2 linked regions of the Neodiprion lecontei genome follow. The protein of the gene in region 2 purifies or fractionates together with the protein of the main gene of each other region. This does not show direct contact. Links are inferred from orthologs where the notes say so. Each region holds a gene or a part of one and is shown on either strand. Other genes may lie near its edges.

The links.
Region 1: the proteins of MAD2L1-binding protein (region 2) and mitotic spindle assembly checkpoint protein MAD1 purify together in Homo sapiens (co-immunoprecipitation; 4 studies listed by BioGRID and IntAct, with this or other methods). This does not show direct contact. The link is inferred for Neodiprion lecontei from reciprocal best matches to the Homo sapiens genes MAD2L1BP and MAD1L1.

Annotation. Positions count from the first base shown.
Region 1 is NC_060265.1:6,128,109-6,144,395, reverse strand, and holds mitotic spindle assembly checkpoint protein MAD1, read right to left. Parts: upstream 8,533-16,287; 5' UTR 8,353-8,532; intron 8,230-8,352; 5' UTR 8,219-8,229; coding exon 7,943-8,218; intron 7,827-7,942; coding exon 7,596-7,826; intron 7,434-7,595; coding exon 6,991-7,433; intron 6,898-6,990; coding exon 6,445-6,897; intron 6,317-6,444; coding exon 6,012-6,316; intron 5,898-6,011; coding exon 5,545-5,897; 3' UTR 5,492-5,544; downstream 1-5,491. Other genes in the region: uncharacterized protein LOC124295044, read right to left, coding at 9,622-9,690, 9,843-10,023, 10,193-10,313, 10,603-10,731, 10,825-10,840; uncharacterized protein LOC107218520, read right to left, coding at 11,877-12,061, 12,191-12,296, 12,390-12,524, 12,599-12,838; transmembrane protein 60, read right to left, coding at 13,719-13,895, 13,986-14,201; NADH-cytochrome b5 reductase 2, read left to right, coding at 15,566-15,595. UniProt on the Homo sapiens protein: Component of the spindle-assembly checkpoint that prevents the onset of anaphase until all chromosomes are properly aligned at the metaphase plate.
Region 2 is NC_060266.1:94,756-109,954, reverse strand, and holds MAD2L1-binding protein, read right to left. Parts: upstream 8,835-15,199; 5' UTR 8,690-8,834; intron 8,525-8,689; 5' UTR 8,198-8,524; coding exon 7,776-8,197; intron 7,703-7,775; coding exon 7,318-7,702; 3' UTR 7,054-7,317; downstream 1-7,053. Other genes in the region: probable phospholipid hydroperoxide glutathione peroxidase, read right to left, coding at 1-127; uncharacterized protein LOC107223528, read left to right, coding at 2,929-3,072, 3,259-3,512, 3,595-3,738, 3,832-3,916, 4,112-4,282; probable alpha-ketoglutarate-dependent hypophosphite dioxygenase, read right to left, coding at 5,113-5,715, 5,842-6,060; adipocyte plasma membrane-associated protein, read left to right, coding at 10,360-10,469, 11,589-11,797, 11,941-12,226, 12,406-13,723. UniProt on the Homo sapiens protein: May function to silence the spindle checkpoint and allow mitosis to proceed through anaphase by binding MAD2L1 after it has become dissociated from the MAD2L1-CDC20 complex.

The sequences.
Region 1 (16,287 bases), on a different chromosome or scaffold from region 2:
CGTTGCTCCCGGTGGTGGTGCAGGAGGGTGGCAGGGCTCGCTAACGAGGGGCGCTCGTCGCCGGATTATCGCGTGTCTGTTTGCGTTATTGCTCCCCGAAGCTCGCGTCCGCCCCCGCCGTCACGCCCCTGTCATTAATTTTAATGCGGTGAAACGATGCGCCCCGTTTGTTACAATTTACAGGCTTACCGCCGGGCCGATGCCCGCCTGCCACGGCGTGCGGCCCGTCGCCCCGAAGAACGGGTTGATTAATTTTTCAGACCAAGTAAACCCGGCTGCCAATTTAGCCGTCTAGAAACAGGCCCCAAATGTTTACCGAAGACGGGGCGTTTTTAATCGAAAGCTCAAGTTCGTAAACCGTCGCAATTTCCGCGACGATCCCGTCCGTATCTGTAGCGCCGAAGAGAGAGATGGAGAGAGAGAGAGAGCTGGGAAAAATTATAGAAAGAGAGTGTATATCGACGGCGAACCGGGCCCCGTGCTGCTAAATTATTCATAAAACGCGCGCTTTTAAGGGGATCTTTCCTCTCCTCGAGGGCTCAAATATTCAAGACGTTGTTCGCTACGTGCTTTATGTGCTTTATGTATTACGACGCGGGTACGGGTCTGCACTGTATGTGTGTGCAGTCGAAAAAGGTGAAATTCCTCAGGTTCAGTTACTCCTCGGCTCCGCTTTGTCTCTCGCATTGTTTCACTTAAATTTGCTACTTCTGAAGATCAACCGAAACGTCCGCGCAGCGAGTCTTTCAATCTTCCTGAACCAAGCGGCGCACGGCGGCGGAGCTTTCGACCGGTGAAACAATATTATCGTCGGATTCGCAGTCCTCGACTCGCCCGGCCCGTTGAATTAAATCTTTCTTCTTCGTTGTACAATACCGTACAGACCTGGGTATACAATTTCACTCTCGCTTCGATCCATCCTCTCTTTTAGCGTATTTTCACATTGCACGTATCACCCTGCGCACTCTTCCTCGAGCATTACCCGGCCAAATTTGCTTTCGCCGCATGCAGGCGACTGCAACCGAACTCCCTGAAAATTTTCCTCGTTTAATACGGAGCCGGTGAACGTCTGCACGTATATTTCTTATAGTTGGGCCGTTCCCCGGGGAACCTGCAACCTCGGAATACGATATTCCGAAACTATCTCGCCCTTCGTCCGATCACGTGTTAGAGATAAAGGCGCTCGCATTCGCGTGCGGCGAGACTTTGCTGCACGTGTAGCTCCTCCCGAGATCATATCCGGCTCCCGCCCCGAAGCGACGGAACTTTTTAGCTCCCCGGCAGAGACCGCGATGCGAAATTGCCGCGAATATCGAGAGGCTTCTCCTGTACTCGGGATAAACACGAGAGAAACTCGCGCGGTGATCAGCGTTCATCCGGCTTTCCCCCCTGGGGCGAGTTTAAAAAGCCGCGCCTTTTTCAAACCCGACGCCCACCGTCACGTGACGCGCATCCCTTATTCCCCGATTCGATCCCGCCAACACTTGCGATTAACCACTTCGGGTTTCGGATGCCTACCGCCTACACCTCGCGGTTCGCATCGCCGCGTCTGACACACGTCCAGATCCTTCCGCTCGAAAAGCTGCTCACTTTTTCTAGACACGCGAACACCCCTGCGAACTCCCTCATAAATCTACGGTCACCCAGGGGGGCGGAAGCTGAATAAATTTATTCGTTCAAATTTGGTCAGAGGGGAGGAAAAGCTCAACAACGCTGTCTGGTCGTTCTTAAATATACAGTAGATAAAAATGTTAGACAGCTTTGCTTCCAACTAATTCTCTTTCAGGTGTATTATTCTCGAGTAATTACGTATTAATTTATCCTTATATTACACCGTTCGTCGCTTCAACATTTTTCTCTTCAACTCTAAATTTTTCTTCATCTCTAAGGTATCTTTACTGCACAGAGAATCAGAAAAGTTTCATGAAAGATTGAAAAAAAATTTTTGCCCTTCCTTTGCATTTGCTCTCGCAGATCTTGGTTATGCATAGTTATATGTTATGCAACAGTGGAAGAGTACATCATTAAGCATGGATAAAATTTCTAATTTCCTACCATCTGTTACGGTTAGAAAATGAAAAAGGGTCTCAAATAACAACAAGAATCCAAAAACAGGTTCGAAAAATTTGAAATTAACAGAAACAGAAACCAAACTATCCAGCCGCTTAAGAAACAAAAAACTAAACGGGATTTCAGTATCCCCCGCTGTTCGGTGGCGTGACAATGCCGTTCGTAAGTTTTCCCACTTTTATCAGGAACAAGAAAAGCAGTAAGAAACAGCAAAAGTTAGGTATTCCGACAGGTATATCCATAATAACGCCAGTATAAAACAAGGGAGTGCCTGGTCGGACTTAAGGCACGTGTTTCGCCCGTCGTAACTCCAGGAAGTCACGCAAGGTCCGAGGAAGACTGCCGCAGAGTTCGAGGAGACAGGTCCGTCCGTCGCTTCGTTCTCTTACACACCTACCACCACGTTTCCCCATTTTCCTCCTCCAGTTTTATTTTCCCTTCACGATGCTCTGCAGCGTTCGTTTATTCGCGGGTTTGGGGCGGGGGGTCGATCCGTGCAGACAAGATACACCACGTTCCGTTCGACCGGACACTGCAGGACAGGACCGACGACGACGTCGGCTCCGCGATTTTGAGCCTTTCGGTCCTCCTCTCGAGACCTTCGTTTTCCCAAACGCCCCCGACCTTCGACCCTCCCCCCCCCCCCCCCCCCCCTCCCACGGGTTCGAGACCATCGCGCGCCGGGCGCAATTTCCGGCCGCCACTCGCCCGCACTCTTATTTCCCGTCACGTCCTTCCGATGCCTCCCCCACCCCTCCGCCGTTCGCAGTCACGGACGCATCGCCACCCTCCAGCTCTTAGACGTAATGGACCCTAGGAACGGACAATTACCCCCACGGGGCAACGCGACTCCCTCGTCGAGTTCGCCAGGTGATCCGCCACCCCCGAAAACCACCCTCATCATCCTCCAATCCCTCACTCCGGGGTCTGATTTTCAGACGCTTCATGCGGCACGTATAATCGTGCACGCACCCTTGCGTCCGGGGGTAAATTAGCGCATTTCGAATGTCGGTACCCTTCGTTTTAAGACGCAGACCCTACGCTCCTCGCGTGTTGTAACGAACAACGGTTCTATTACTACTTTTCGCCGCGTCTAGTCTCGTTTATAATCTTTGTATCGTCTTCGTTTTCGGATAGACAGCCGGCGCTGCATTCTACGTCTGTAACCGGACTGATAAGAGTGCGCGTCGGATATTGTTCTCAGAAGTGATATTAAGTAACTGATTTTAAAAACGTGGTTTCGGTTATCTATCCGCCGGCGTTGCTTCGTCAACTTTCATGGAAAACGCCTGTCAAGTACATGCCTATACCGAATTGCCTTTGTCGGCGGGTACTCGTGCATGTATTAAACGCATGTCTGAACGAGTCAAGCCGTGTAAAGTGCATTGAAACGCGACGGTTGTTTAGCTGGTGTAAATATAGCTGTGTAGAAGTCAAGGTAAGTATAAACCGCATTGCAGTTGATCGTCAATAATTTGCGGAATATCGATCCTGGGCGAGGAGATTTGATTCGGACTCAAATTGGGGCCGGGGCAAAGGTATGAAGATTATATGAAATTGGCTGTAGGTAGAAAGGTGCACGATGGGTTGAACGGGAATAAGTTTAAACGATGTATGAGAAACCCCCGAACCATTGTCCGTTCTCCATGCACACCGATACACGCCAGTGTGGAACGGCAATCGTGTGTGTCATACAGGCAGAGGTATACGTATAAGCCACACACACAAACACGCGTGAACACGTACACGCATGCATACGTACACCGCACAAAAGCTCGAGGTACTTTGCGGGCCTCTCGGAAGACGGTAGAAATAAACGCGTTTTCTTCGAGTCCTTTTTCCACCGCCCCAGCAGCCCTTTTGCGTCTGTCTCTACGTGCGCCGGACACCTGGAGTATCTCTGGAGTATATAACTACGCCGAGTGGCTCCTCGACGTAGGCTCAGCGAGGGGCGAAAAGCGGGGCGTAAGCGAGAGAGGAAGGGAGGGCGAGAGAGTCCAGATTGATAATCAGGACTGAGCGACGCCGGGCACGAGGTCTCGGGGTGAGCACATACACGTCGCGTCGTCCTGCGTCTCTGTGTACGAAAGCGGTCGTCGAATATGGGGGGTGGAAGAGGAGGGCGACGCCGGGCAGGGTAGAGAGGACGAGTTTGCGATTAAACGTGATTATAATTAGCGATAATGGAGTTTAGCCCTTCGGAGCTCCCGAATGAAGCGGATCCGAGGGCGGCCGCACCAGCCTTTCCTTATTTTACCCCGTGTCCTGCGGGGGTGCTGCTCGCCGCCGCCGACCGATAGAGCGAACCTCTGTGCCCGGCTATGTATCTCCGTATTATGTACCATATACATTATGGGCATGTGTATATAACCGGGGTTCCGTAATCGCCCTTCCTTCTCCTCAACGAACCTCTACTTCTTCTTCGCCCGGCACAAATTATCACCCTGTCCCAAGTACTACGAGACTGTTATGTGCCCATAGATCTTGGCCGGTTCTCTCCACCTATGTCTAGAGATAATTACCACGTATTATACTAATCGTCGGATCGAATGGGACGAACCTTACGTGACGGTTATGGGGTTCGGATTGATATTGCCCCTCCGACGCGACGAGTCGAGTTTTCATCAATTACGTATGTTTCGTAACAATTTATCGGTCCGGAGTTTCATGCTTTTATTTTCCGTCAGTTTTTACTGTTGTTATATTATTGGGGATTTATAGAAAAAAAAATAAAAATTCGTCTCGTGGGATTTAATCGGTTGGTTAAAAGTTGAAGATTTATACAAGAATTTTGAAATTAAACGTTAAAACTGAATAGAAACCGTAAAACATATAATAGATACAACCCTAGTTGTTGTTTGCCATACTTTACCGTCACGTTCGGAGTTAATTGGAGATACCGCGTGACTGCAGAGATTATTTTCCACGGCTGTTGAGGTGCGTTTAATTTTGGACTCGTTTAACGCTCAACTGGACTTGGGATTTGTTAATTTGTACGGAGCTAATTAATTCAAATCATTTAAAATTTTAATTTGAATGCAAGTTAATCGTGCAATATGAATCTGTGTAAAACAAACCGTTCTGCAAACAATGTTCTTTATCATTCGGATCACAAATCAGAACAATGTGTCGAAATTTGTAAAAATAAAAAGCGAATGGCAATTCAGCTCTAAATTATTTACTAATTAAATATCCATTTGCTTTAAACAAAAAGTAATTATATGATTTATATGAAAAGTAATAATATCAATCATAATTATAGATATCGATTATGGAATCTCAGATGTATTTTCACGATACTTTTATACCATACTAAAAGTTTGTTAAAGTATTTAGTCGTACGTACAAGGGCTTAAAGCTGGGTACGAGTTACATATTTAAAGAGTTGACTCGTCATTTTCAAATCGCAACAATCGACAGCTCTTAATGAATTGGTTTATTTTCAGTTATTGTAATATTCATGTAAGGATAAGTTCAGCTTGTCACAGTCGCAGCGGTCTGTTGAGAGAAAAGTTCCGTTTGAACGGCATTTATAAACATCGGGACACTGTGCTGTCTCTGTAGGTGACACTCTATGAGGCTACCGAGAGTTGCGGAAAAATCGGTTTCCAAAAGATCAACGCCTTCCTCGCCAACTTGGAAGAATAGAAAGTCGTCCGGCGACTCTGCGTACTGACTCGATAGCTTGTACCGTCCCTCCTTTGTCCTGTCGACTCGCCATCCAAAAAGCTGATAGCAGGCCTGGCGGTACTCCTGCGAAGCCGCCTTGAATGCTTCTTTCAGGCGAGTGATCTTGATCTCATGAGTCTGCTTGAGCTCGGCAATTTCTGTAACAACGATTGAGAATTACCCGTTTGGATATGAGCAAACAATTGATATATTCGAGCCAAGGCATTGGTGAATGTATTTTTGTTACTCTTTTTTTGTAAAGAATTCTTTACCTTGAGCTTGAACAGATGATCCTACGGGTCCCAGATTCAAAGTGCCAGAGGCCGTTCTAGCTCTGAGTTCCTCGACCTCTCGTAGAAGAGCTTCGTACTTTTCGTCCGCCTGTCTCTCTGCTAGAGCGGCTGGATTCATCTTGAAGTGAAGGATCCTTGCATTGCAATTGAAATCTCCTTTTAGAGCTCTGTGTTCTAGCTCACCCTTGAGTCTCTCGATCTCTTCTCGTAACTTTTGGCACTGACCCTTCTGCACACAATCATCGGCAGCTTCTAAATCTGACTCTAATTTGCTGACAAGCTCCCTGAAAGTGGAATAGTATTTCGCAATTAAGGTATGTAAATAATATTAGAAATTTTCTCTTGTGTAGAAAAAAAGAAATAAAAAATCAATACACGTGAAGTAGAGAGAGGACAATGTTTTCATATCTACCTGTATCCGTCTATGGCTCGTTCCAAAGCTGGTACTCGTTCGGTAAGTACACTATGGCCATCAACGGTCATTTCCTTTTCGTACAAGTCGAGTTGCTGTCTGTAACTGTCTCGTTCTCGGGTAACTAGCATCATTTTCTTTTGTAGCCTGCTAACCAATTTGTTCAATTTTTCCCTGACACCTGTCATATCGTTTGCTATCGTCTTAGCTTCCTCGTACTTTTTACTAAGGTTTTGACATTCTCTCTGAGCAGATTCCATCTTTGACTTTAATTGACCTTCTTCGGCTGTTAAGATCAGTTCCGTTTGTTGCAAACGTTGTAATTCTTTTTTTAGCGCTAGTGGTCCACCAGTAATACCAATCGACTCATACTCCCTAATTTGTGACAGTAGCTCCGCCCGCTGTGCTTCGAGGTTTGCAATTCGCAGCTCCAACTTCTCTGTATGCTGAACCCTGATGGCAAGTTCACATTATTTACAAATCTAGATTGATGAACTCCTGTCATAGTTTATCGGCAAGATTGCTATTTGAAAACTTTTTTCTTACCTTTGTTGCATGCTGCAGATTTGTTCTTCGAGTAGCAACTTTCCTTTTACCGATTCTCGCAAAGTAGAAACCTGTTTATTGGCAGCATGAAGTTCTCGCTCTAGATCACTAGCACGTGCAGCTCTGGCCGCCATTGCTTTGCCCTCCTCACATAGCGATCGTTCAGATTCTAACTTTTCAATTTTCATCTTCAAATTTTGTACTTCTAATTCCAGCAATTCACTCTTCTGCTGGCCACTTCTGGCCTCTCTGAGGCTCTCTTCTAGTTGTAGAATTCTCTTCTCAGTAGCTTCGAGTTTCTGTGTTATTTCTGTTACATCCTCATTACAATCACTTGGTGGGATTTGCTGCCGATGCTGGCTGTTGGCTTGTCTAGTTTCATCCTGAAGTCTTGCATTGTCATTCATCAATGCAAGGGTTTTCTGATCTAGTTTCATCTTCACCTAAGCAAAAACATAGTAAAGCAAAATTGTAAAAGCATGTAATATATTGCAACATTATTTCTGTTTCTTTATTCTCCATTCTTCGAAATTCTTGCAGAAAATAAACCACGAACAAACAGTGTATTAGAAGTTACGTGAAAATTTTCAAAGTTTTCACATTACCAGGGCAGTCTCTCTTTCAGCATTAGTCTGGGCCTCTATAGCTTCTTGTGTTGTTTGCCGAGCCATGTCCAATCTAGCTTCTAGCAGTTTTATTGACTGTTTATCTTGTTCAGCCTGCATTTCAAACAATTTTTTTTGCTTGTCAAAGACTTGTTCCATTTGCCTTCTAACACCATGGAGCTGATCCACTGTGGCCTCTTGGTGCGACAGTCTTGTTCGCAACGAAATTACCTACATAAGTATACGAGTGGTAAGCTTGTGCAAAGGGAAATGCTTCGTATGACAAAAGTCATCGATATTTAACGCATTCCTTTAGTTTTCAAGTAACATTTTTTTGCAACAATTACCTCTCCCCTCAACCTTCTCCATTCCCATGGACTTCCAGGTGCGCCATCCAGACTAGATCTGTTAAGACTGGTATTCGTTTCATCTAGTCTAGGTCGTTTTGGGGTACGTTTGCTATCATCATTATCGATGTCACTGATGATAGAAGAAGAGGGAATGTAAGACGCCGAGGACAACCGTAACCCGGAAGACGTTAGGCTATTGCGTTGATAGCCTCCAGAACCTGATCGCAGATCCTTGATCATTTTGACAACACAGGTTGGATCGTCGTCACCCATGATTTGGAATTCTGAAAAGTTTCAGGGGTTGTTTACGAAAAGGTAACCTCTTGAGGGTCGATTCAGATGCTGTATCAACACTGACTCAGTTCTGTAGCTTCGTAGAAAAATCGTCAAATGCTACCGTAACTTACGTGTTTCAACTATCCTATACGGATAAATATGTTTATAGTTATTTTCAAACAATTCAAACACACATTCACACGTATACGAGCAGCCCTGCGAGAAGCACAGGCCGTTTTGCCAGCTTTACATTAATGCCGACGAAACGCCGCCATTGGCTAAATCCATGGTAAACCCAACGGTAATCCTGACCGGCATAGCTGAACTGACAGAGATAGAGCTCACTAGGGCCTTATGCGTTTGTAACATCTAGGGATTTCTAGAGGTTTTGATTCTGAGATAGCGAGATCGTTTACTCTGCACTTGGCAACACTACATACAAGTTTGCTTGCAAAACTGCACTAAGCGGCCGGTCCAACTGACGGATCTTATAATAATCGAACTCGTATAATATATCGTTTAAAAATAAGAAAATATGTCGTGTGCTATAAGACAACTGGAGGAGCGACAATTGTCGGTGGAGTTGACTTTGATGCGATGGTCACCAAAAATGGATCTGTTGGCTATAGCTAACATGAGAGGTTAGTACGATATGCGTTGTTTATGAAGTGGTAAAACGCCGACAATAAATGAGAGAGAGTATCGTTATCCTTACTTTCGATGATTCGCATTTTTCAGGGGAAATAGCACTTCATAGGCTCACGTGGCAGCGTGTCTGGCTTTTACCCCCGCCTGAAGCAACAGATTTGGTTCAGGATCTGACTTGGAGACCAAACGGAAAGCTCATTGCTGTTGTTTATAAAGAATCAAATCTCATACATCTTGTTGATGTTGAAAACAAGAATATCCTTCATAAAACTCAACAAAGTTCACAGGCAATTGTTACAACTTTGTCCTGGCTACCATTGGGCATTCAAGAGGCTGAAAAATGCGGAACTGGAATCAAAACTTGTTCCTCGTCAACTGGAGAATATCTTCCACCTTTGCCGAGCTTGAACAGAAGTTTTGGGCATGAGCCTGAGCACAAGGAAAGCTTATCCCAAACCTTGGACATGTTATTTGTAAGTGTGTCAAGAAATGAATGCTAAAATACATAGAAGATTAAAATTTCTTACAAATTCATTTCTCTTTGTTATGTCTCATTTTAATTACTCATTTATTCACACGTATGAATCATAAATAGACAATAGTCGAGGATAAAATGCAATGTAATTTACAATGTGCTCAATTTTTTACAGCTTGGAACTGAAGCAGGCACTGTTGCTATGTATGTCTTTGGGATGTTTAATTGTGGTACATTAAGCATAGGGCCAGGTTCCGTACAGGAAATCAACGGTGGTTCAGGGGGGCCAATTTGGGTCAGTCTGCGATCCTTGGAAAACATTAGTGTTGTTCATCTGTGTTGTCCACTTTTGGAAAGTAATGGAGCATTTTTAAAAGTGAGTTTCACTTCATCTATACTTTTTTGTAGCCTTAAAATTAAGGTGGCAGTGCTGAAAGTTGCGTCTGTTTCTAAAAGGTAGCGCAAGCTCAAGCTAATATTGAATATCTGATGGACTACCTCGATCGTACGCTGATGGCTATTTCCGAAGCATGGGAAACAATTCTCTTGGAAATGGATGAGAAATTGTCTCGTTACGCTGAGGCCAACCCTCCTGGAGCAGTGGCTGCAGATTTTTTGGACCTTCTTATGATCGGCATTCCCTCTGCGAATTTGGAAAATTTCCTCTTGAGAGACCTGACTGAAAAAGGGTTGAAGAAATTAGGACATAGCATTGAAATGTGCTACAGTAATATTCAGGTTCGTTTACTTCTTGGGAATAACTAAAGATATTCTAATTAGTTCTCAATCTTTTTGTGCAGAAATTAGTCCTAAAGCATCTTAGCAGCGTCGGAATGGCACTGACATACCAGCTGGCTGAAATGACTGGAATGGCCAAACTTGGTGGACAATACGAAGCCCTGGGATTTACTTCCGAAAGTGTAATTGACGAGGCTCTTCGGGCATCGGAAGCTTTTCTTGCCAAAGCATCTGAAATACAACAAGTCATCGATCATAGTATGCGTGATTACAAAGCATTTTTTCGGTGGGTAGAAAAAAATTTACGAATCGTTTATTTGTTACAGAATTGTTGTGCTTTTCAGATGGCTATATGTTGTTATACTCAAATTGACTGGCGAACGGGCGCCACCTGAAGTCAGCAGAGTTAGTCAACAGGACTTGACTTTTATAGCTGAATTTTTACGTGGGTTTGATCAAGTTGGAGATAAAGAAGGTGCTAGGAAAGGTGTAAATCTTGAAAAACTCGGTCAGTACTTACGAAAAGAACCTCTTCGGACATGCTTAACCCCCGATGGTAGTGAATGGGCTGCTATGCTCAGCGAGAATGTCTGTTTACAAAACCATCCGCTATTGGTTAGGCAAGACCTGTCGCTGTCCTTGCTACAATCTAATGCGAAATTGGTTGACGCGATAAGCGTCGTGTTTGGTCAGGCTTACCAGGGGCTAGTGAATCTCTTCATTCCTACAGTCGTGAGCTTACCAGCTGTGTCGACCATTTCTTACTCATCGTTGCATTCACAGTTTGTCACATCTGAGAAGGATTTACTGCTTGCTTTCTCAGACCTGAATGGAAAAACTTTACAGATGTTTAAGGTCGTCCAAAATCCGGGTACTGAAAACTCTTTAACAGTCAAAAGTGCAAGCATTGACGCGGATCGACGACAAGGTAGACGAAGCAAATAAAAATTAAATCATCGTTACAACATTCAAATCATGGTTGTACTATCATGTTATGTAACTTTTTACAGGTTGCGATACAAAAGATATCTCTGCTAGCAGTAGTAGTTTGATAGGAGACTTGCAATTTTATTCGCAAGATTATTTAAGTCTGCTCATTCTGGATCATCACATACATTCGTCGTATTTCGTGCAGCTGCCTCTTGGCCATGTTTTCACATTTGATACTAGAGAGAATATGGGTATTAGTGAAGTGGTTGAACTTTCTGGTGGAACTTGGCCAAAACCTGTTCAAGGAATAGCGGCGAGTCGTTTGGCTGTAAGTGGAGCCCGGAAAGTGGCTGCAATTCTTAGTGAGAGCAACCGTAAAATTCGTATACTGGAAATAGAAGTTGAGGAAGAAGATGACGATGAAGATGATGAAGATCAAGCAGAAGAGGCAGATGATAGCGTAATGGATACCACTGCTGGTGCTAGTACAAACACAGCTCCACAGTGAGATTCTTTGAGCAAATGTAAGTAGTTTTTATTCATTAGTTGTGCATCTTAAATCTCATTGTTCTACATGTATATCAATCTATTCAATTGCTATAATTGCTTAGTATAGATTTGGTACAACTAGTTTGTTCTTAACAAAGTTAATTATTCTATTGTTATGAAAATTATGCTTATCACATTCACATTTGTAGATATAATGTCATACCTTGTCACATAATGTCCTTGACCATTTATATTTATTGCGCAATACATTGTGACCACTCGATATTCATTTTTTATAAACTGTATTTCTGTATTGGTTCACAAATTATTAGGCTCCAACAGCGTTTGTAAGTATTACTAACTTTTGATGAAAAATTATGGAATCTCAACAGCCTGCTCCTGATGCATCTTACTAAATACTTTTGGGAAATCAACATCCACTGCTGCATTCTCAATGCCTATTTCTTCTGGAGGTGGCGTGTTATTGCGAACTACTCCTGCAGACCTACGTGTTCCATCTCTATAATTGACTGGTGAGTTTTCCCTTGATGGTTCCATATCTGAAATTGATTGAACGAAGTTCGTGTAGTAAAGCACGCTCGATGTTGATATTTTATGTCATATGTGATAATTGATTTGACTGATCACCACTTGTATTTGGATATGGTATAATAGTTGAAGCGTCTCACCAAAATATTTAAGATTTCTACGTCGTTTGGTCGTAATTACGTACAGTAGCAAGGCGATGATTACAACTATTACCATAACAGCGGCCAAGCTTCTCAATAAGTTTGTCTAAAATAGAAAAATGGCATTTACTTCTTTCAACTGTCTTACATTACAGTCTAAAAAATATCACGAAAGCAAAAACTAAGCTAAAAATCTTGCCTCAAAGTCATTCTCCCAGACATCTTCCCAGTCTCTTGTAACTATCAGCTCAACCGTTTCCATGCTGATGACAGATTCATCATTTATACCTCTCGAGATACATTTATAGAAACCAGATTCAGCAGTCGAAACACCCTGGTGACAAAAAACTACCCAAGTTGAATTATCCTAACAGAGCTCTATCTAAATATTTGGGGAAATTATATTACCCTAATCATGAGCTTCCCAGTTAGTACTTGGTAGTTGTATTTTTCTGGGTTCTGTGGGTTTCCTGGACCTATGATATTATTTTTATTAGAGAGCTCCCAATACATGAAACGATGATTGTCGTCGATACTTGGGCATGGCAATTCGGCTAAATGGCCAGCACTAACTTCTTTCACAATCACAGCTTCAATAACCCATGTTACGCTCGTTATGAGAGCTATCACCAGTACCCATGTAATCATCTACGCATAATTGTACAGAACAATATTTTTAAACGATTTATAAATCTCGTACACTTTTCAAAAATGATTACTTTTTTAAACGTTGCTGGTTTGAGAATTTCACAAAATTTGCGATTCTAGTTATTTTTCAACAAAATACATTAGTTTTTGTTATCACAAGCATGTGCAAATATAATTTTTCAACACCGTATATTTGTTTAGCACATTGTGGTTAATAAGAAAATCAAATTAGTTCTCACTTTTCGACTTTTCTTTGTAGTTCCGAAATTTTTGTACCAGAGTCAAGCCTAGGAAGGTTACTCTGTTTTCAGTTGCTAAGCTGCAATGCACAGTAAAATCTTAGATAATGAGCTCTACCTGTGCGTTTACTGGCTGCTTAGACAACTAAGAACTACTCGATATATTTATTTATATCTCCGTCCTATTCATCCTTGGATCTACTAGATTATTTTTAGTATCTGTCTTGTGACCATTTTGCTTCATCCATTTTAGCATTCCTTGTCTCTAGTTATGGAAGGTTCTTTAAAAAAAAATACGCTAATTCGAATATATAATGTTTCGAAGTTGCCATTGAATAGACAATAAATTGATAACAAATTTCTAACGTAGAACAGCTAAAATGTCTTATGTAAAAAGATTTTCACATTTTTGTTTGAACCAAGTATGTTTCTATTTATTGTTTCCGCCTATTTATACAATTTTGGGACAGGTTCTTTCAGTTGAAAGAAAAAATAACTGGGTATTTAGGTGAAAAATAATTTATTCATAACATATGTGGAGAAATAATGATGCAATGTGTTATTCACAACCAAAAACCAGGGAGACGTGAATTTTTTCACTGTGGATCTTTGGCCGTGTGATAATGTACATTATTGGACAGTTAGTATCGAGAGTGTTGAATGAGATGGATAAAGACATCGCACCCTAGTGTTAGGAGTAAAACCCACAAGGGGGCGAGTACAACTTTGGCTGGTAATGTCAATTGCGTTGCTTCCAATTTAAGACAGAGAAGACCTTGACCGGACAGCTTAGTCAGAACAGCAGTCATGTACCATGCCTAAAAAATTGAAGCTGATTAGTTGTTGGTAAGATGAGTCTGAATATGTATTGTATAAGCATGTATCTTAACAAGGATTATTCTTATTACTTTACGACGTAGACTGCTGATGTGATCATGTCCGTTCTTGCAGTGCGATATCATGCGAAATATTATATAGATTAATAGAATGTTGTCGTACAGCCACATTGGTATGAAAACTATAAACCAATTCCATTGTATTCTAAGATCCAGTCTCAACACCAAGAGTATTAGGAATATCAATAGATTGAACCACGTGAACAATGCTCTGTGTAAAACAGCCATACTGACACGAGAAGGTGTAGATCTTTCGGAGAAAGTTTTTTCTTGCTCTTTTAAAACTTGTCACTTTTTTGCTAATTGCTATTACTTCAGTAGCAAATGCATTTTAGGAACTCCGTGTAATTACTACATTGCATTGCATGTCATCTGATTGGCAGAGTGAGATCATTCTTCAAATCAGCAATTCTTCATTTTTAATTGTCTACGTACAGAACAGAAGATTATTGTATAACAGTCTGAACATTCGATGCTATTTCAAGTAAAGATTCTGACGGTTGGTTTAAAATTGTTTTTACGAGTTTAGGTCAATCTATAATTAGGGTTTATGCTATAGCTAAGATCCGACGAATATTTTGAGGTTATGATTCATTCGATCGATGTGGGATATAATAAACAATTCAGTTATCATGAGAAGTGAATGATGATGAAAAATCACTGGAATGTTGATCACCGGTATGTAATTTGTGGTAATAAAACCCATCGAGATATCACGACGGAAATTGTTTACATCACGTTTGTGCGTTTGACGTTGACGTGATTGAGACTCTTAAATTAAGCAGACTACGACAGTAGCGATGCATCGAAAATCGAACATGCGAAACGAGATACGGTGTATCGAATTCTTCGACTACAAGTGACTACATTCTACGAGCGTTTTTTCAATCAACGCCGAGAGACGAGCAGAGACGAGGTAGTTTTCATTATAATTCCGAATTATCATCGGATTCTCTCACTTATTGATATTTGGGATCTTCGTACTCATTCTAGATAGTCTTTATCAGTCCTACCCCGTTTGCCTATTCATCTCTGCTTGAATGTCTAAAAAAATTTGTGATTTTCATACCAGCTTCGGCCTTCACAAACCTGTGTAGCCGGTACGATCGGCGCATTTATCCCTGAACTAGTATAGTAGAAAGTTATTGTAGATTCAGCTGATATCCAGCCGATCGTAACATATCAAAAGCGATGATGTATATTACGGATTCGATGTAACGTGAACATAAAGATTAGAGGTTCAAAATGATGTGTCGTTACATTGATTGATGGCATTGTGAAAAGTAATATTATCTATCTACGGGAGGAATTATTGCGTAATCAATTATGTCAGTTGATGACTAATAACTTGTATGCCTGCAAACGGTACGACGATGACTTGGCTATAAATGTCTGAATCGACGTTCAGGCAATTACTATTTCTACTGCGTAGGCCTTCCTAAAGCAGCACAGACCTTGAGGCTTGAAGAGAGGAGATCGGATTTGTCGGGGGTCAAAGGTCTAGAATAAGTTTTAAAATCTCGGTTAAGAAGTAAGATTAGGTAATGCTGCACCGATAGTACGAAGTTAACCTCCGTCGGAACAAGTTGAACATGTTCGGTGACTCGCTCGATGTCTCTGCGGTATGTAAGCCTATAAATAAGTCTTATTCTTGGGTTAGAAAAAGGTTATTTAAAGCCTAGGGTTATTGTAGTTCGTAGGTGCGGTCGCCCACAATCGGCTTTCACATCTTTCACGTGTTAGGTCCAATCGGTACGTTAACCTTAACTGTACAACACGTCCGGAGGACACATATTACGAAATACGAATAGTTTCGAGTGGTATGTCGATGATCACGTCGCGCGCAACGTTTTTCACCTCAATATATAGCGTGATTCTGTCAGGGTCAAAAAGCCGGGTCAGGCCCGCGTGAAACCGCGTCCGTTGTCAGATCTGGAATGAAATAACTAAAACAGAAATAGGAACAAGCAGCACGGATATTATTTTCGCCATCGCGCTCTTCCATTATTATATCTGCTTTCTTTATTCTTCTATTTACGTCATTCATTACCATAACCTCATCTGCATTCTTTCCAGCCCTAAACTCTTCGTTGAATCTGTGAAGAAAGTTAAGACGAAATGTTAAATACACATTCGGTGGTAACTATACATTGCATACACGTTTGTTCGTTTTTGAACCCTTACTTATTTATATTTATTAAAAATTGATATATAATAATAAAGAACACTTGCACACAGTAGTAATGTAATTGTTGCAACTAGTAGCTATTTTTTCTCCTAACACACTAACAAAGTATTATTTCTTTGACTTCAC
Region 2 (15,199 bases):
CTCGGTCGTTCCTTCGGCATGTCGAGTCCTCGGAAGCTGTATAAACCAGCTCCGTTGTTCCGAGTGACAGGAAAGTAACGAGTATCGCAGTTGGGAGAATCTGCGGAAGCACCGACCTTCCATCCATCCTGGATATGTAATATCGTTGGGTAGGTATTCGATTCGCGAATAGTTACCGTGCAACGTCACGCGCGCACCTATAAAACGAACGGCGCTACCACGAGACGGTCGGTCGTCCGAACGGAATGTCATCGGGAATCGCGATTAACCTCGCAATGCTTACAGTCATTCCCACTCGACCGTCCTCCTCCCACCACCACTTCCGCACGGTAAGCCATCGCAAAGCGCGCAGCCGTGTTCGTCGCATGCTAGCACGTATTTACGTACAGACGTATACGCGCGCGTAAGAACGTGCATTCATTCGGTCGCGTCGGTGAGTTCGCAGTACGCTGGCCTACCATCGTTGTGTTTTCGTGCACAATTATTTAATGCCATTTATTCACAGTCGCAGGCGTTTACGTACATCGAGTTACGTGTTACAAGTTACTCTTGATGAAACGCAAACGGGTTACACGTGTATTCGTGTGTACCGAGTTGCGTGCGATGATCGAGCCGGCTGCTACTCGTTGCCATTACTTGCGCTATTTCACAAAACGTATGCGAGTAAAAATTGAGTGTCGGGTAACAGAAATATTTTAGCTACAACAATTAAATTGCTAGATCTGAGATAAAAGCCCAGCGACAATCGGACGCGTAGACGGCCGGATAGGAGTTTATGTGTTACTTGATTCTTTTGGCTGCCGTCAACTCAAATCCATCACCGTTCACGTACGTGATCGAGCATTACCGATTACCACATCTCATAATACGTGACACGGTGGACCTCGTGTCTATAGATCGACCCGTTCGACGTTTCGGTATAGTAGTGCAAGTTGCGAAAATTAGTAGCTCACAGCACGCATCTCGATGCACGTAAACGCCTAAGTGGTTGTCCCTCAATTATTTCTGTTACCTGATATTCAATTTTTACCCGTACGCGTTTTGTCGAATAGCGTAAGTAACGACAATTATTTCGGCCCAACGCACGAAACTCGGTGGACGGTAAACATGGTGTGTTATACGAGAATAGCAGCCTATAAAGCGAATCGTGTGCGGTTCGCAGCGTCGCCCTACCACGGTCCACGTCTTCCCTCCGAAGTAGTGATACAAGTGTAAATGTAAATGCCTTAATTACAAATACGGGGCTAATCACCCGAAATTTGAGAATTCCAAGTCACCACGGGTAATTTTGAGCGGAGAAAATCCGGATATTTCAGAATATACGCTGCTTTTTTTCAAGATTTTTCTGTAATGATTTAAGTGCGAATATGCATACCATGCAACGTGCATTAAGTCCCTACAAAATTCTTAACAAAATAGATCCATGTATCGTCCCGATTAGTTAGCTACTCGTAATCTCAATTTCAATTATTTTGCCATTTGGCAGGTTTCTTTTTTCCAATACTACAAGATACTTGAAGCGTGACAAGTTTCGAAAGGAATAAAACGTTACTGTTAATTATTATCAATCGTAATTCATATTTATATATCATCAACTATAAGTATAATTATAGCTTGTAGCTAATTTAGCGCTCGGCTTTCTTTCCACGGCTTTTTCAGGATTGCATTGAGATTATGTACGTACGCATGCATGTATGCATGCCGGTAAGATCGCTCAATTGCATAGCGTTACGGGAGCGGGTGATTTCAGTGGACGCAGCTAACTGCGAGAGATTATAGTTGTTAGTGATCTCGTTATTGGCTACTCATTTCTGCTCAAAGACATTCGCCAAAGGAGGTTAGAATTCGTCAACGCGTAATATACCTTTCTTTTTTGGTAATTAAATCGTCGCGCGGTGCGCTAATTGTACAAGGTCATTAAAGAAGGCCATGAGTGCTATATTGATGTATTTTCGCATTTCGATGCCGGTGAAAAAATGGAATTGAGCAAGCTCACCTGAAAAGTGTCGTTTTCTGATTATGCGTTCCTCGTTGAAGTGTATAATTTCAAAAAAAGTCGTTCTCTCTTAGCTGTGCAATTACACAACATGCTCGGAACCTTGGCTGACCGCACTGTTAGCGTAGTATACCAATTATTCTCGGCAGGTTCATTAATCTTGAACAGTCTGTAAACTTTGCGATTACTTTTACGGTTGCAGTCCTACAGTTTCCGACCAATGCAAGCTGTCGGCACTTTCGTTTCATATTAATCGAAACAGGGCTACGCGTTGACACTGCACTCACGACACGGTCGACGGATATGGATATGACATGGATACGGGAAGATTGGGTTACGGAACTTTGTTATCAAAAGAAGACCTCTAAGTTTCAGCGCGCTCGTCGTCCGTGATATCAAAGGACAAAATCAGCCGCCTTTGCAGCCTCGCCAATCGCCGAACAACGGTCAAACGATCAACCACCGCTTGATTGACCGATGTACCCCCGCATGCCTACGTACGTACGTACATAGGCAGATGTGCACGTATAATGTTCACCGTACGTTTATCACTGTGTTTTTATGGGTTCAGCTCATCGTCCACGCCTATCACGGCTATCACCTGAAACCTGAAACGATCGACATCTCTCTACCCTGCGTAGATTGACAATTGAATGTCGTGATCACGTGATAGATTCCAGAAAAATTCCCGGTAATCGTGATTGAAATGGAGGAGTTTTACCTTATAAACGTCACATGATAGATATTGGTATTAACAAGCCGCCGCGGCGTCTCATACTCTGGAGTATTTCGAAATTCGACATCGGCTTACGATCTGACCGGCGTGTTGGATTTTCGGGGTAGGAATCGATGTCTATGATCCCAGGCACGACTTATGACTATTGGCAACATGATTGACGTGCAAAAATTAAATTGACAATTATTCTTAGGACATGCGGATCCTAACGAAGCACAAGGAGCTAATTGAACGCGATGCCAACGACATTTCAATACTATGGAAATTACTACAAATGTTGTTCTACTGTGTTAGCGCAATAGCCGGCTACGTCACCGCACACGCATTTTTTATGTTTCAGGTATAATTCAGCTCTGTAAGTTCAAGGCATAAATCTCGAGTTGTAATTTTATTTGTGATTTTTATTTGAGGTAAATAAACAAATATTTGTTGGAATTATCTCGCCTATAACTAGCATGTTGCGCTGATAGCAGCGAGCGGCCAGGATTCCTAATATTTAGTACAACCAACCGTCTGATTAAAATAGGATTTATTTGACCGTCGTTGCATATTGTGGGCGACGCCGGGGTTGGAACCAGATCGTAAAGTGTCAGTGGCAGGTATCGTTAATTACAGGATCTCGTCAATGGGACAACCTTGGCAAGACAGGCTGACAGTCAGTTACAACACTCAACATCATTGCTCTACGATACAGATAATATCGATTCTTTCGTGTATCTGTGGTATTGTTGGCTTTTCTTTCTTTTCCATATGTGGGCGCGGAGGTTACCAAGTTGGAATGTAAGTTGTCAACAATGAGTTAGGTGTGCATACAAGAGACAATGCAACGATTATTGATTAAACAATATATCTTCGCATCCAGATACTACAGTCCCTGGAGACTGGTTGGACCGGCTATACTTTTCAACTTATGTCTGACGTTGCTAACTTGGCGGTCGGCCTGCAATTTCCAAGAGGGATTCCATCATTTTCAATACCGTCTCAATGGGATGCTAAATCAATCTGGGTATTCTTTTGTCGATTTTTTCCCTCATACTTATTTGCCAATGTTACCGGCGCTAACATCTGTATAACATACGCGTCTTTTGTTCTCTCAAAGGAATGAACCCATCACGGAATACCTGCCGACAAGCAAAAAAAACACCTACAATAGACTTGTGTGGAAATATTATGGAATCACAAAGGTATGGCACGATGACAATTCTATCACACTCCAAATTGACATCCTTACGTGACGCTGATTTTATCCAAAGAATTTATTTAAACAAAATTTATGGGTAATATCGGCCATCCTTGAGTATGATTCTCGATTACAAATTTTGCGAGATTACTAGTTTAAAATATTGAAACTTGCGCTTCGTCTCACCGCAATACAAAAGATCTCATCTTGGGTGGAAGTTGCTGCCTGGGTCATGGGACTTACACTTCTGGTACTACGAGTTGTAAATGTCACCGACTTCAGGTTGATGAAAACCTCTGTATATGCCCTCGAAACAGAAGACGAAGAACATCGAGATGAATCTCTTCGCTACAGATTCGAAGAATCATGAACTTTGGTAGTGCGCGTTAAAACTTTAACCGGTGTTTCTAGCACTCCTCGGTTTAATCCATTCTTACAACGAATAAATCCTATTCTTTGCATACGAGGTGAAATTGTTTACATCAATACCTACATCAAACGATACATCAATGATAACGCAGTCCACGCCGTAGCATTTTTTCAAATAAATCTTTCAATATTTCCTTGCAACATCGCCCCACAATATCGTTCAGGACCTCCCGAGATTTCGTAAATTTTTTCAACACCTGCCTCGATCAGCAAAAATTTTTCAAGATTTCACAATACCTCAAAAAATCTGAGAATATTTCATACGTAACAGACCGAAGAGTAATTGGGAAAGTATAATGGAAAAGGTGAAATTGCCAATGATAACGTGAAAGGATAAGAGTTGTATGACCTATATTCATCCATACTAATTAGTTGTAATAATCATGCGGGAGTGGTTGGCGCTGGTATATAGTAAAACTCAGGCAGAGTTTGTTGTGCTTTCTCAAGCAGATATTCTTGCACAATTACTTACTTTAACATATGATGCGTACAATTGTGTGCATATAAAACTGCTATTATCAGTCGGCGTACAAGCAATGACAGATTGAGAACACTGGGAACGGCATGGAGACGTTTGATGTTTCTTGCTGCCAAGGCCTCGGGTATTTTATTTAAAATTATCAACACTACACGCACATGGCGTACACATGTTACATAGATTACATACAACTGTTGCGAAAAACAATCCAGTTATACCAATCACATAGACAGGCAAAAAATGAGCAAGATATTGGCGGTACAGAAAAGCGAATAAATATAAAAGTTCGTGAATTAGTCAGCGAATCGCGTGGCCATGTTTGCGCTGCGATGTACATTCCTACCACGCAGGACAAGATTTTGTGCCGGTGATTGATGACATGCTCTCGTAGGTTCATCATCTGCGGCTCTGAGTTGTAAAAGGAACATCCTTCGAGCACGGTCGGAGAGATTCAAATATGATCCGTGAAGGAGGAGGTAAGAGAAAACGATTACTTCCCCCTTCTTCGCCGAGATAGGGGTCGCACCCTTCAATGGCCATTTGTTTTGATCTACCCAGTGATATTGTTCACCCTGCTCATCCGTTATACCTTTGTCAGCCAGAGGTCCAAGTTTATGACTTCCTGGATAAACTGCTAAGCCTCCATTCTCCGGAGTCGTATCATCCAGGTGTAAAAATACAGCTACCATGGTGTGATTTTTGAAGGGAAAGTAGGGATAGTCTTGATGCATCAGATAAGGTGCTCCATTCTCAGGGGGCTTTATGTGCGCCTTGGTGTGATGCAACAAGACATCTGGAGTACCCAGCACATCTTCCATGGCATCTAGCAACTTTGAATTCATTATCACTCTGGTGAAAACGGAACTGTGCATTTGTAAGTTGTGGATCGCCTTCACCTGTTAGCAAGCCCATTGAAACATAGAATTACTCGATCGTTAAAAGTGGAGCACCGGAGAGATACACGTAGATAATACAAGTGCTCGGAAAATTAAGGCTAAGCAAAAACGTTATGATGTACAAACCGTATAATCAATAAACCCAGCCTCTTGCTTCACCCTATCCCCGCTCCATGCGGATTCCAGTCCCTCCAGATTCTCTCTGGTCTTGCGCTCGAAAAGCTCGTTGTATTCTTGAGAAATCTCTTCCATCTCGGCCTCGCTGAATATTCCACTCAGCTTGATGAATCCATTTTTCTCATAAAACTCCTTGTCCTCAGGCTTCAGATATTTTAAAACACCCATTGCGTAACGAACTGACGACCAGCACAGTTTGCAGCAACAGGATTCGAACTGAGGATTTCTACTAGCTGGGCCGTTACTTTAACGCATATCACCCCACTGCTTCTACCATTGTCAGTCCCTCTCTCTATATTCAATTCCTCGTTTTTCCTTACTTGTTTTTGAAACCGCATTTGCCAATGCCCAGTGATAGTCAAGCTTACATATCAATTTTTTATATAACGCAAGAAACATTTTTCGCACAGTTGTGCAATATTGTTATCTCTCAATTCAGCTGTGCTGCTTACGTAAACAGCCAGTTTGACAAGCAGACATTTGACCGGACGGGAGAGATAGGCCTTGTTGCGTCTCATCGTGATGATTTCTTTGGTTCTTTTCCCTAGTTACGTACTAGCTTTGATGGAAAAAATTATCATTTCTTATAAACGTCGTTTCGCGAATACACAGGAAGCAAAACCGTAAACCTGTCGGTATGTGTAATTTGTAATAGGTTGTAAGCGAGCGGGCCACGCGCAAAGCTTGGTCAATTCAAGTAGATGCCACTTGCCAAACGGCTGATGCAATAACCGAGATGATCCAATAGTCAGTGACCTGAACACCGTAGCGCCAAGTTAAGAGGGTTATCAAGCGAAACAAGCCTATCAGCGGTACGGCCCTTGACCCCTTCAAGACCAAATACATTTTGGTAGATGGTATTGAACGGCACATCTCTGATAGATGCTGCGGACGTCAAGATCGTAAATTATAATTTACTGACGTTGAATGCATGTAATGGAAAATTTCGACACAACGTTTTACGTAACGTACCATCTTGCCTCGTGACAACGAAAATCCTTCAATTTCAAGCAATCTTCCGAACGAAGTTAATAATTGTTCAATCTATACAAAGTAAAAGCTTGATCGATTCACAGAACTGAATGGTTATTCCATTTTGCTCAGTCAGTGTTTACTGTTTTACCTGGGGTCAGGCCGCAAACATGGCTGTTGAATTTCGTGTTTTCGATTGGCTTTTCAAATTCATTTGCAGCAAGACTGGACATATTCAATTGCGTATTTACATAAATGGCTTAATAGATATAAAACATTACACAACTGAGAAAGTGCTCAGCGATTGTCCATAAAAATCGACATCTGATGCTCAAGGTTATAACCATTTCATCAATTATACGAACTAAATAATCAGCTAATCATTTATCAGCCTGGATGATATAATAAACAATAAAGTTTTGCCAGAAGGGTGAACAAAAAACAATGATTGCATCACCGAGAAAACTTGAAGCCTTTGATAATGTCTCTGGACTGATACCATTGGTAAATACTGTCTTGGCCTCCTTCAAATATTTTTTCAGTACTGCGGTGTCCGGCTGTGTTCTGACTAGGTGCCAATTCCGAATACGAAGCATCTCGATCTCGATATACGCTTACTGTATTCTTGCAATTGCAATTCCACATTTCATGACTTTTATGGGACAGCTTTAGGTGTAAACGACTTCCTGCCGTCGCATTAGTTATCGCGTAACGTGGTTTAGGCACAAAGAATTCCGACACCTTGTTGCAATCTCTCTTTTGCAAGAGGAAAAACGTATTCGTGGGCATCAAAGGCAACGCCATAGCTTCTTGAAAATCTACGCTCTCCGTTATGGATCTGGGAAAAATAATAACATGAAAGATAGACCATAAGCAGGTGATAGATAAGAAGGGGGATCGCAGTGTCGTACCTCATGAGGTTCAACAGTGGCTTACGAGGGGAATGCTGCTGCTTGAAATGGCACTGTCCACTGAGTATTTCTGGGGGAAGGCTCACTCGAAGGCAGAATTTTGGAGCAAGTATTGTCGCGCCCATTGATATAAAGATTTCCTTTACCGCTGAACTCTCGCAACATAATTCGGTATTTAAATGTTCCGAAATATTCTCCAGGCAACTCAATGTTGCTCTCGCCGTTGCCAAACTCCTGTCGTTGACTCCTACCGACGAAGCTCCCAGTCGCAGTAAATACTCGTAGCTCACCGGAATCTGTTGCTTTTGATACAACAGATATTTGACCAGCTCCAAAATTAATTTGCAACACGAGTCACTAGTTAAAGGTTCGTCCAGTTTCACACACACTTCTAACTCCTCGATTTTTTTTCGCCCCAGCATTTTCGTCAATTACTTCGACCAGTCGTGTACCTAGGTCGTGTATGGGTTATCTACGGCTTCGTAAATCGTAAATCAGTCCGAAATCAGTCGTCGGTCCAATATGACGCCAATACGTAACAAATCAGTGTTCATCACACAACGCACACATTCGAATAGATGTCTTATACTGATACAACTTTTATTCGCTATGATAATAGCGAGGAATGAAATAATAATATGTATGCACATGGAGAATGCATCGGCGCTGAAAGAGTGCCGCAACGCCCGATAATGTCCCCCAATGAGGGCGAGGGAGAGGAACGTAGTTAGACAATGTGCTCTCTCTTCCTGCAACAGAAGCGTCCCCATCACAGTTGTTCACCCATCGAGAATTGGCTAAGTGCACCGTTCGCACTCACTCGAAATAATCCGAATAATACGTGGAGTTTCTATGGAGTTTCGGAATCGTTTAACCCGTTTTTACTACAAACTTTCGAGAGTTGGTAAACTTACCAATGGTGAATTCCTGCGCGTACGCGCAGTATATTTTCAAAATGCGCGCTACTTTGCCGCATCATGGAGTCGCGCTTGCCAGATACTACCAGAAAGACTCTAGTGATCTCCCTTTCTCGCCAGTTGTATCAGCTCTCTTGCTTCCTCATTCTCGTTTTCTCCTCTCTCTCTCTCCCTCTCTCTCTCTCTCTCTCTCTCTCTCTCTTTCTCTCCTTCCCTCATTCTCTTCAGTCAGATGGCCAGTCAGGTGGCTTCGTTCATTTTGACACCGGTTTTCAACGACTGAAATACAGTTTCCAACGAATGCTCTTGAGGTTTACGGTACATCTACCTAGGATGTATTCCATTGAAGTTATATCTTCCATACCTGCGGTGTTGTCGACCTGTGGTGATGTGTGGGCAAAGTCCAGCGAAATCCAAAGAGGATAGGATTGGCCAAGTCAACGAACCCAAAAATTCAACAGTCGTTAACCGTCATTCGTGATCAACTGTGAACGTGAAAAATCACTCATCGTACATCCTTAGCACCGTTCTGAGACTGGTAATAATTTTTATACTTGACCCTCGGTGTTTCTACCGAATCCACGATAATGCCGTTTTCTTAGAAATATCTTGCTCCAAAATCGCATTTAGGTTCCAACTTAATTTCAACTATATAAAAATTGTCGCTGTACGCGTAGCAACACAATTATGCTTGATTGTTTTTTTTTTTTTTTTTTTTTTACCTGTGACCGTTATGTTGCCGTGCGTGACGCGGCAAGTTGGAAGTATCCGGCGATATCTTAGGTATACCTGCTTGGGTCAGCTAAATATTCACATTTCATACGAACAAACTTATTACCCCTGTCGGGTGTTCTGTTATTTCGCGCTCATTTTGATAATTTGTTTTACAAATTATTTTATACATCATTATAAAAACAACAGTACCCAGAGAATTTCTTCAACCCGCTCTATTGGAATTCGACAAGAAGTATACATAATTCCTTTGATTACCTGAAAGCATTCATTATGTTATAATCGTTGTGCGACATAGTTCATCGTCTTTTTTCTAGGCATATCTAAGGTGAGTATTTCAATCCAAATTCATTATCGCGTGATACGCATTTTTTAAACACGTCTTATTGCTGTTGTATTGCATACTTTATCTACGATCAATTATGATCCTTCAAGTAGCTCCCAGCAGCTTTCACTTACTCCAACTGAAAGTGTAGACTATTCGCAAGAAGAAGAAGTGCGATAGATAAAAGAAAATCAGTTACTCCTCAATATTTGTGGAAAGCGCTATCAGTAATTCTCATTCGCTACAGTGGAAATATAATGTTTTTGTATGCCAGGTTATAGTAGACACAATTTCAGTGACTTTAGCTTGCTTTATATGGTGAATGTCTAGTAAGAGACCCTTCCAAGCCCTATGGCCACCGTCTGGTGCCAACACCTGTGCGATTGTGGGCAAATGTTCAGTGGTAAGAGTTGTGCGTATGTTGATGCATGCATTGACAGCATGCCATATAAGGATCTGTTACAAGGGATATACACGGGATACATCTTATTATTGAAACATCCGCTGAGTTATTTCAGATCTGTACTATTTCTTAAATGTATTGCACTATGTTACATTAGCAGCATAACATTTCTGATACATGCGTTTTGTTTTATCCCAGGTTACGACAATGGGTTACCTAAAGTCTATAGGCACCACATTCATCTATATTGGATTATTTCTGGCGCTCATCACTTTCCTACCTGGCCTACCACCAGATGCACAGTTTGCTGAATACAAGTAGGTACACAATGGAAAATTGAATGAGATGATTATATTGCAGATTGCTAACCACATTCCACCCGGCATCCTTTCTATAGATTTGTCACTGTTTCTTAAATATTGTGAATGTTTGGTGAAGCGGACTCCTTGAAGCTGCTGAAGGTGATTGATTCTTTGCACCAACTCTTATGGGCTAGTACTTACTATTTGTGTCTGGGGTCAGCTTTACCAAAGATTCACAATGCTTCTGCTGTTTTAACCTAATTCACTCTGATACTGGGCAAGGAGACTAATTGTAAGAAATATTATTTTCAGACGCTTGAGATCCATGAATCGTGTTATTCCCTGCAATATAGACAAGCTTGCATATCACTTATGTTTTTATCCTCTTTGCAAAAAACGTAACATAAAATTGTTCTTGAATTTACCCTGTGACGTGGCATTTCTCGCTCTCAACAAAAACAAACTCATCGGAAGAGTGTAGAGGCTGCGAGATGCAGATTTTGCGATTTGCAGTTTGTATTCTCTCATCGGTACATTGCCCCTAGGAGCGGGGGAGTTGTAACGCGGCATGTCTCGCTGTTTGGGTAGCAGTTTGGAACGGTGTTTAGCGGGAGCTCGAGTAGCTCAGTAGTGAGAGCAGTTGCCCAGGAAGCAAAAGGTTTTCTAGTTCCAATTCGTGTCCTTCAAGCCGTGAAATAATATTTCTGGACATACCGAAAAGCTTGTCACATTACACATCCTTTTAAACCTGTGTTCTACATACTCGACAGTTGTTTCTCAAAGTTTCATGGGTTCAAGTACTGATTTCATTACTTCAAATGCAATTATTCATACCGCTTGCGTTGAGAGCCCACATATCAGAGCTTATTCTTTATAAGAGCTTTGAATTCTATGTGCCACATGGTAGAATTTCATGAGATTTTCACTCACAGTATTTCTGAAACGAACAGTTTTTGTGCTTTATGTAATTTTCGTATTAATTGACTGTGCTGAGTTGACTACTTGAAATGCGTTGTGAAGAGAAACATTACTTGACTACAAAAAATTGTACATCCCCAATGAATCAAAAGTAAGACTAAAGTTTATGAGGAATATGCCACTCGGTCTCTGTTACAACTTGTCGTCCCTTTGCAGTATATCGCCACCGCAGCAGTTCCTAACAGATGCCCTGAAATTGAACAACAGACTGGATGATGCCGAAATTCTGTTTGAAGGGAAACTAAAGGGCCCTGAATCTTTTACCTCACGTAACGGGGAATTGTTCACCACCTTGCATGGAGGCGACATTGTTAAGATTATAGGGCATCATATTGTACCTATCGCCAAGTTTGGTAGACCGTGCGGTGAGTCTCTCCCTGAAAAATTTCCGTTCCTTAATTAATTACTTGAAATATTGCTCCAACCTGACCTTAATATTATGCATTATTTTTCCAATCTTAAAATACTTGAAACTTGGAATCAAATTTGGTACCTCTCTGTCTGATAGATGGAGTCTGGATGGAAAAAGAATGTGGTCGACCCTTAGGTTTACAATTTGACAAAAACGGAATATTGTACGTTGCCGATCCTTATAACGGTATCTTTAAGGTAGATGTCATGACAGGAGAGTATGATATGATCGTTGATATTTCAAAGCCGATAGAGGGTAAGTTACCCCTCCTCGCCAATAGCTTGGACATTGCCGCAAATGGAGACATATACTGGACCGACTCGTCCCAAGATTTTATCCTTCAGGACGGTGTTTACACATGTCTGGCAAATCCAGCTGGCAGGTAACAATTTTAATATACACAAGTTTCATCTTGTTGTCAATCGAATTATCGAGCTTTGTCGATTGTACTAAAGCAGAATTAAATACAGAACAACGACGATTATGCCCAGTTATGTTTAAGAACATTGGTTTACCCTGCTTGTAGAATACCAACAGCTGGCGAATATTCTTTTTTTTCAGGTTAATCAAGTATGATTCATCGACCGAGCGGAATACTGTACTGGTCGCAAACCTTGGCTTTGCTAATGGAGTCAAGCTGAGTAAGGATGAGAGCTTTGTAGTGGTAGCTGAGACAATGACATCTCGCCTGTCAAAATTTCATCTCAAAGGAGATAAGGCTGGCACTGCGGAAATCTTTATACAAGGCCTTCCTGGTTTGCCAGACAACATCCATACGGACGGAGGGGATGGATTTTTGGTCAGCCTGATAGTTACTGCTGATGCTGATCATCCCATCCTCGTCCAATCCTTAGCACCCCATCCGTATATCAGAAAAATGCTAGCTCGGATCCTCTACTTACTAGAAGCCCCGTTCAAGCTTGTCGAGGACGCTTATCCAAATTGTTATACTAAGAGAGCTGTACATTGGATCGGCCATTTTGAAAGTGTTAAATTTCTACAGCATGAAAGCGTTGTTGTGCTCAGAATCGGCTTTGATGGTAAGATCACAGACGTTTTATACACTAGCGATGGCAAAATCAGCGGAATAAGTTCAGCATACATATTAAAAGATTATTTATATCTTGGTTCACCATACAACGAATATCTGGCCAGGGTGCCATTGAAACGGGCATTTCCAGCTATGAAAAGTGAATTAAACAATGTTGCCGATAACGTAGTCGAACGGCAAGACGCGAAAACTCCACCAAAATCTATCGGAGATTCTAAGCTGACCGGTTCAGCTGCTGCGCCTGTCGCGAGTGGAACACCAAAGCCAAAACCAGCACCGTCTAGAAGAAAACCAACGCAGGTACCTACCCAACAACAGGTTAACGTCAACCCGCCAACCCAGCAGCAGAAGCCTGTGACTGTTTCTCCGACAAATCAGCAACAGCAGGCTGTTACTACAGATACGCCAACTCGTCAACAGCAGCCCATATCTACAGTTTCGCCACCCCGGCAACAGCAGCCTGTCACTGTTACTCCAACGAAGCGGCAAGAACAACAGCAGCAACAAAAAGCGACATCGAACCCAACGAGTGCAGGGAAGGAAATGAGGCCCGAATCAGTGAAGGTAGTTCCTGCGCCTCAGCCTGCACAACCCTCACCCAATGTGTCCAAAGTGTCAGTGGAAGGAGGGAGTGAAAATAGGGAACGTGTGAAACCTGGTACCGCACAAAATCCAAACGTAGGTCAGCAGGCAAGAGTAAGGCCGACTCCACAACCGGCATTTACGAAGCAATCAACAACGCATCCCCATCAAGGGGCAACAGAAAATCCGAGTAACGCTCAAAAACAGTCACCTCAGCCCGCGCCAGTCACCGGTCGAAACAACTAAGGCAACGATACGAAACCTTATGAACAAACGGTCAAACCACCGACTGCTCCTACCCTGTCATCACGAAGCGAATGATACCGCAGGGTGACAAACGGCCGTCTGTGTCACTCTTCAAGCCCTTTGAGGTAATAATAACAATATCCGGGTCTTCTAGCGACATTTTGCTGTGTGATTATCGTTTAAATGGCAACGTTTGTATACAGATCTGCACTAGTGAAAGTATACTAACGACTGCAAACTGGTGTACCGAAACGCCGAATTCAATTCGTCCGAAAAATGTCGCCGTCAGGCAACGCCGATAAGAAATCGCCTTCTTATAGATCTAATAACGGCATACCAAAAGATTGGTATCTCTTGTTCCATCTTCACTGTCGGAATTGTATCGCTAGCTTCGCTAATACACTGATTCCGCGCCCTCAATCCCTGTGTGTACGATCCGAGAACTCTGTCGTAGAACGGGTAGGTATTTACCAGTGTTCAACCAATGGAAACAGTGATAATCTGAAGAAACTGGGAACTGTGACAAAATTCTAGGATCGGCGCGGATGCATGTTATCAGACGTTAAACGAGGTTGACGTTATACTACACATGATGCTGAGCGGTACCAAATTTCTGATCGCGCTACGACTGGGAGTTCGTGTTCGTTGGTACCGGCTTAGTGGTTTTCGACATTCAATCAATATTTCATAACATCTAGCTACACCACAATAATCACTGTCTTCATTTTTAATTTTAGAATGATACTTTTTCACTAATAAAGATGGGTTTCGTTTGTTTTTTATTTTTTTTTATTTTTTTTTTTTCCAATGGGGGCAGAATTAGTAGCAGCAGCAGCAACAGCAGTGTGAATAATTAGTAACCATAATATTAGTAGAATTAGTATATGAAAAAGTAATGTTACTACCAACAGTGCGCTACGACTATTCTCGTAATTCCTGGTGTAATCACGAAATTTGGTGTTATATATGCTCCTATAACGCTTTCACTGAACTTTGAATATCCCGTGTACAGAATGAGTTCAAGCTATCTCATACCAATGAACTGAAAGATTTTCTCGTGCATCGAAATACGCGACGAATTAATTATACTGGGACCTTACATTCCCAACCACATTTCAAATGCTCAATGGCTCAAAGCTCATGCAAGGCACAACTGTCCGCTGCCAACATGTAAGGATAATAGCAAACTTGAATTGTCGTATTTGTGGCGCAATATCACTCATGCGTCATCAGACGCTCGGGTGCGCCAACTCAGAGAATTAAAACTTAACGTACCGAATATATCATATTAGATGCACACTATGAACATTCCGTCATTATCTCTCATTTACAAGCTGTTGTCATTTTTACTGTTGTTATTGCTAGTGTTGTTACTATTATCGTCATCGTCATCATCATCATCATCATCATCATCATCATCATCGTCATCATTATTATTGTTACTACTACTACTACTACTACTACTACTACTACTAC